2 linked regions of the Xenopus tropicalis genome follow. The protein of the gene in region 1 interacts with the protein of each later gene in a pairwise test. Links are inferred from orthologs where the notes say so. Each region holds a gene or a part of one and is shown on either strand. Other genes may lie near its edges.

Region 1 (3,500 bases):
GTTCTGAAGTCTAGTGCTTTCACGGGATGGCAAACAGCTATGTAGCGATCAACACTCATAGTGGTCAAAGTAAAAATGCTTGTAAACATGTTATAATAATCTATTGATATGACTATTTTGCACACAATATTGCCAAATGGCCACGTTCCCATCAAATAATTTACACTTTGAAAAGGGAGGGTGCTCGTTGCGAGGGCATCAGCTAGGGCAAGATTAAAAATGTAGATGTTGGTTGCAGTCTTCATTTTCGTGTACCTAAAAGAGAATACAAATATAAAAACCTTAATGCATTAAGCCAATATTATTCATAATTTATAATTAATACAGTGATTTATTTAAAAAGACAATCTGGTTACGGGTGCAATGTTTGCTTCAGGTCTAGTAAGTTGCAATAACCAACCAGATTTCTTCTACCTGCAGATTGGTTCTTATGGGTCACTAGCGCTGGTATAAATATTGGACTTTTTATTACATTACCCCTAAGTATCTTGGTTAATCCAACAAATAGTCCTGATTAATTATGGGCTATATGACTTAGTGAAAGATAAAATAATTAATCCTAATGATGCAACAATATATGACCAATATACTGGGTGAAAATGGAGCCTACACTGTTGCATGACAAAACAACATTCACAATAAAGCTTTTTTTGGGGGGGGGTATAATGAAAGTTATAAGAAGCAAACAAACTGTATAAATAAGACTGATGAAGCTTTTATAAGTGAAACGTGTAGCAAACAACAATCTGAAGACCATGTTTACAGCAATAATACAGATACATTGCTTAATAAGATTTGGAGCCGTTTTGGCCTTATTACTTCCTGTTGGTAGAACGCACACAAGTGGAACACAGTGTGTTTAGGCAAAGAAGCTCCAAACACACCTGACACAGAAGGTTCGCTAAAACTCGATCTTTATTATTCCATTTAAAATCAGTACGCCGGATGCGTTTTGTGCGTTTGCGCACTTAATCATAGGCAGTCAATAGTGACAAAACAATGATGGACATAACAAAACCACACCCATCACTAATTGTATAAAGGAAAAATGGGAAAATTAAATCGAGTGGAAATGTTCATAGCAAACCTCTTAATTTTACAAAATAAGTATAAAAAACAATAATAACAGTAAAGTCAATCAAATAATTATATCAAAATAATATAAGTTATTGATTATTGATATAATTATTGTTGATATAATTATTTTGATATATTTTGATATAATTATTTTGATATAATTATCAAAGTGGATGGGGCGATAAGGGGTGAAGCGGGTAAGTGGCTGGTTCGGTGAGATCTGTCCACACTTACCTCTAATGTGGGTGGGTGCCACTACAGTTCATGTTATACTCATTTGGATAGTATCCCCTATGAAACTGATAAATTGACTGCCCATTTTTCATCAATATTTTTTCACCTCTATCAATTATTGCTATTATTTTGATATCACACAAGTTATGAAGGGTTGCTGAACTGTAACTAACCTCTACTTGATTGCATTTACAATGAGAGGTTGCTGAACTATAACTCACTGCAGCTTGACTGCACTGGCATTTTAAAAATACTACGGCTGCTGTTTCAACTGGTATTGTGAATAATTGGGGCTGCTGACTGCACTAGCACTGCTTATTGATTTTCTGGAATTGTTTGAAGGCTTGATTTCTTGCTAAGGAATTCTGAAATGAATTTTAGTAGATAAATTTGAGTGGCCAATTACATTTTATATTTTTATAATGTGTATGAATTGGTAGACAGTCACGCAATCTATTTATATTTATAATTTCTTGCTGAAATTTTAGTTGGTTGCAGACATCAATTTGTGGAATGAAAACTATTATTTAACACTGGGATTTGGTATCTTGAAACCTTATTATAATAAACAAGATACTGTAGTCCGGAGTGTTGCTAGAGGAAGAGAAAAACTATGGAGTGGTTATTTTGTACCTTATAGACTGTATTTTACCATTAATAGAGCCTGAGGAATAGAGAAAGTGCTTTATGACCTAGAAGGATGTATCTGCCAATTAAGGGACTCAACTATATGTTGCACATTTTAGTAATCGATAACCCTCTCATGACTGGGGCCGGCTACTAGGAATTCAGGTTAGTTACCAAAAGCAATGGACATGATAGTCCCACCAGTAATCAGGTGCTTATGATAAAGCCATTCTGAGCTTCTGAGCTGACCAGATATCAGCAGGGCAACTTGTAAATTTATCACCTGTCTTATAAGGCTGGCTTTTTTTAAAAGCGGTGTTATAAATAAAACAATAAATATGCATATGCCATTCTGTTTTGCACAAAACCATACCTGCATATTGTGGCATAAAACACCCTGCTCTGTGAAAGTTTCTTCTTTGCAAATTAGACATATAGGGCCCGATTCACTAAAGTCCGAAATAAGGAGTGCTATTTATAGCATGCGTTAAAAATCTTATCACTTCTTATTTTTCACTCGATTCACTAAAAGGACACTTGCAGAGCGCAATATATTACGCACGTAACCATTACTTTCTGAAAACCACCATTTCCCTGAAAACTGGAGGATGCATCACTCTAGGGCCAACATATACTTGAAAAAATATGACTGCAAACTCCATGTTGTGTTGCCAATAGCTCACGAACCGCAATTTTCTTTAAGTAGCGCCTGCCCCAAGTAGGGTTAATATTCACACAGATTAACACGATATTTTGCACGTTTAACGCTTCATATGTGTTTGTGAATCATGCATTAGTACTATTTCTTTTCGCTAATTAACGCAATGCGTTTTTTTTGTGCATGCGATATGCGGATTAACACATGTGAAATGACTTTGATGAATCGGTACTTAATTATCGCATGCTTTTTAATGAAAAAAACTATGCGATAAGCGTTATTGACCTTTAGTGAATCGGCCCCTATAACGCTTATTGCATAGTTTTTTTCATTAAAATATGTCATTGTAAGATAAATAACGCCAAGAACATCGCTTCTTAATTATGACAAGTGTCCTTTTAGTGAATCGAGCGAAAAATAAGAAGTGATAAGATTTTTAGCGCATGCTATAAATAGCACTCCTTATTTCAGACTTAAAAAACACACTGTAGTGTTTGTATAAGTTTATAAGACATAGCACAAGTGTTTGTAAAGGGGAAAACTGGAATTCATTTCTGTAAAAATATGATTTCAGTTCTAGTGAAACCTAGCTTTACATCAAAGCATTATATTTACATGTAATATTTTTATGTATATAATCTCATTGGACTGTACTGAATTGCCATTTCTAGTCTGTTGCTACTTATAATGCATATATTAATACCTATAATGCATATATTCATACATATGTGAGCAGTAGAGTAATAGATTTGCAGAGAAACTTTAAAGGTTTTTGTTTGATTTGTTAAAAATGTAAATAATTAAGTGACTTGATTCAAATTCTTAAAGGATGTGTAATGTCTATTTCAATATTAGAAGTCACCTTAGAGTTCCATTGTCTTTACCTTACCTTACCATATAATAT
Region 2 (4,036 bases), on another chromosome or scaffold:
ATTGTACATGCTGAAGGAGGGGGTATGGGTGCTGGTCCAACCGGTGTGGGGAGGTAGGAAGGGTTAAAAGTTGTACAGGTATGGGACCTGTTATCCAGAATGCTCGGGACCTGGGGTTTTCTGGATAAGGGATCTTTCCGTAATTTGGATCTCCATAACTTAAAGCTGGCCACACATGTGGCGATCTTTCCAACCCTCCCCTGACGTTCAGGGCTGAATCATCAGATATGGAGGTAGAAACAATAGGATTTCTACTTCTTTCTGCTGATTCAGCCCTGAACATAAATTTTGCTCGGGCGCCTTCAATGGCACCCGATCAAAATCTTCTAACCTGCCCGATCGGCGAGTCGACCGATATCAGCAGCTCCTGCAATATCGGTTGCCTTGCCGAGTTGCCATACACGCACTGAATGAGGTACGAGGTTTCATACGATATTATTGGTGCGTGTATGGCCAGCATAAGTCTGCTAAAAATCATTTAAATATTGAATAAACCCAATAGGATTATTGTTGCTGCCTCCAATAAGGATTAATTATCTCTTAGTTGGGATCAGATATATGGTACTGTTTTATTATTACAGAGAAAAAGGAAATCATTTTTAAAAATTCGAATTATTGGCTTATAATGGAGTCTATGGGAGATGGCCTTTCCATAATTCTGAACTTTCTGGATAACGGGTTTCCGGATAAGTGATCCCACACCTGTAGTTCAGAAACTCTGGGTGGTGCAATACTTTTATGAAAGGTTTATGTCCATTTTTTTTAAAAAATAGGATATATTCCACATATTTGGTCAGATTAACAGCAGTAAATAAAATTTTACAACCACATGAAAAATCAAGAAACATTACAAATAAACGCAAGTTGCTGGGCCGCACTAATTCAGAGATGAGGTTTTACATGATCTGATAACCTTATAAATGTAAAAGTCATTTTCTGTTGATATTTACTGTATGTAAAATTTTGTGTCTTAAAAAAACGAGGAAGATCTGCATCCATCTATGATAAGTATTACTGTACACAGCTCAATATTCTGGCACTAAACAAGTTAAATATTTCTCCAAGCCAAGCACACCCCCAATATCCTGCACCTCCCATAGTCCGCCCCATTGTTTCCTCTTTCCCCCGTGGGATATTTTTGAAAAGGCAAAGGGCAACATCTGAATGCCTCTCTTATCACACAGCTCTTGGCACATACGGAATTTATATGGCTCTACCAGCGAAGACTGGCATTACAGCTAGCTCTGCACACTGTTCTTGGGCATGCCAATGCAGGTGGGGTGCCTATAGCTAGAAGCTCCACTTTGATCATTGTTGGTGAGTATTTAATTTACAGTCTGTTCCTAGAAATGTATTGCCACAAGAACTGTACTTGTCCCATCTCTAATGTCCACAGTACAGTGTACAATATTACTGGTTATAATCATGCCAGAACACACATAGGGGTTTTATAGAGAGGCATCTACAGTATTCATAATAATAATACTATTGAAATGTCCTTTGTGATACACAACAGAACCAGACAGTGGTAACGCTCACCAAAAGAGCTAAACATTTAAAAATGAATGTGAAAACACTACACTGATAATAGCTGTATAAAACTGCTCAAGCAAAAAAATACAATATTCAGTATAAAATTGAAGGCAAGCACTTATTTGATATGATGGGAATCTTTGAAGGTGTTGCGCTGCCACAGCATTATTTACAGCTCCTTGTGGCTTTGGATCTTTGGTGTCTACACAGCAAAATTAGGGACAATTCTTTAAGCTATATAATTACAAAGGGTGACATCACCAGGATGCCGTTAGCAGCTTTAAAGTAGTAAAGGTATAGGACCTGTTATCCAGAATGCTCGGGATCTGGGGCTTTCTGGATAAGGGATCTTTCCGTAATTTGGATCTCCATACCTTGTCTACTAAAAAATCATTTAAACATCATTTAAACCCAATAGAATTGTTTTTCCTCCAAATATATTTTAGTTGGATCAAGTACAAGGTTCTGTTTTATTATTACAGAGAAAAAGGAAATCATTTTTAAAAATTACAATTATTTGCTTATAATGGAGTCTATGGCCTTTCCGTAATTCGTAAGAACTATCTGGATAACGGGTTTCCGGATAAGGGATTCTATACCTGTACATCCATATCTCTTATCAAAGCACAACAACAAGAAATAATTGACTATGTTATACTTTTCTAATGTGGATTAAGTGCTGAAAGTCTTTTTAAGAGCTGCCTTACATAAGGATTGTGGAAAATGGAAAGTAATTGACCTTTTCATCATGATTCACACACTGATCACCTTCAGTTAGAAAGAAAAGGATCTGTGAGTGGATTAAATCCTGTACGTGATGCTCAGAAATGACCCAGAGCAGTCAAGGTATTCATGAAGTTTCCCATTCTCCATAAGTGGAACTGATCCATAACCATCCTACCTATAGTCGTGATCAAAGTGCCTAGAGCATCCTGAAAAGGATATGTTTTGTTTTATAGCACAGACCAAAACTCTTTTAATGGTTGTATATATATATATATATTGAAGCTAAAATACAAAATATCTAGTTAAAATTGTAAATGTTCAATATGCAGTATACAAGTTAAACAAGTAAGACACCATAATGTGAAACCTAAAGGTAAAGTAATTCAAAATAAGGAAACTTAAGAAACAATGGCAGAATGATTTAAGAAATAATAATAGATAATAATAGACAATAAAGCTCATTTACATTCGCAAGTGCAGTGAGTAAAGTTCAATGTCGAGGGCAGTTGCCATGTTGCCACAATACAACAATTTTTATCCCAGAATTCCAGTATTGTTGTGGACGCAAATAAGCAATGCAATTGCCATAGCATCTGATTTGACAAAATGGACACAACTGAATGAGCGTTTGTCACAAATCAGGAGCAGTTGTGCCAAATATTTTCTAAATCTGCTTGGCGTCATTTCTGGTGTTCAGCCACCTCCAAAAGAATAAATCATATAATATAAATGGAATCCACCGGAGAGCTCCTGTTTGTGAAAACAAGTGTAGAACTTTATTTAGAGATGCATAGCACTACATGTTTCGGACCACATGCACCAGAGGAAGGACCCATGTGGTCTGAAACATGTAGTGCTATGCATCTCTAAATAAAGTTCTACACTTGTTTGAACAAATGGGAGCTCTCTGGTGGATTTCATTTATATTATATAAATTGATGAAGTCAGCTGCTGAAAGTCACACTAAGGAAAGTTGCAAATAAACATAGAGTGATACATATAGTCAGTCTATATGTCTGCAGAAAGCTTATCTGTACACCCACTGGTCTCTCAGTAAAGTAATCCCTAGCATTACTCTTGAACTTCTAATATTTACACTCCAGCATATGGCCCCTTGTTGTTGCAATTGCATTCTTCTAATTGAAAGTTTAGTTGCCTAATTAACATTGTTGGGCTCTTATTTGTATAAGAATTTAACACCCTTGAGGTTTCCTATCCTGTTTAAATGTATCATGTCCTTAAATATATTGGGGGCACATACAGTCCTGGTTGCAGTTATAGAGGCTCTGCTCTACGCTATCTTCCAACACCAGAGCCTAGATAACAGAACCTAACTATATTAAACTCAGTATTAGTCTCCTGTTTGGCCTTGGTTGCACTCACACCATGACTTCAACTAATAAAAAGAAATGTATCATACTCAATGTAAATTTAGTAAAATTATAGTATAACAGTGCCAAAGTACAATTATTTATGCAGTAAATTTGCATTATGTACATACAAAAGGTCTGAGATTAAAGGTGGCCATACACGCACCGATATTATCGTACGAAACCTCGTTTCGTACGATAATCAGTGCGTGTATGGTATGTCAGCGAGCCGACCGATGTCGCAGGAAGCTGCTGAAATCGGTCGGCTCGTCGATCGGCCAGGTTAGAAAATTTTGATCGGGCGCCATAGAAGGCGCCTGACCAAAATTCTCCCTTCAGAGCTGAATCGGCAGAAGGAGGTAGAAATCCTATTGTTTCTACCTCCTTACCTGCCAATTCAGCCCTGA

What was found.
Region 2: the proteins of oprm1 (region 1) and gja4 interact in binary tests that used the Homo sapiens proteins (3 or more experiments, as listed by UniProt). The link is inferred for Xenopus tropicalis from reciprocal best matches to the Homo sapiens genes OPRM1 and GJA4.

The regions. Positions count from the first base shown.
Region 1 is NC_030681.2:43,492,264-43,495,763, reverse strand, and holds part of oprm1 (mu-type opioid receptor), read right to left. Parts: intron 256-3,500; coding exon 1-255. UniProt on the Homo sapiens protein: Receptor for endogenous opioids such as beta-endorphin and endomorphin. Receptor for natural and synthetic opioids including morphine, heroin, DAMGO, fentanyl, etorphine, buprenorphin and methadone.
Region 2 is NC_030678.2:89,193,550-89,197,585, forward strand, and holds the start of gja4 (gap junction alpha-4 protein), read left to right. Parts: upstream 1-1,236; 5' UTR 1,237-1,317; intron 1,318-4,036. UniProt on the Homo sapiens protein: One gap junction consists of a cluster of closely packed pairs of transmembrane channels, the connexons, through which materials of low MW diffuse from one cell to a neighboring cell.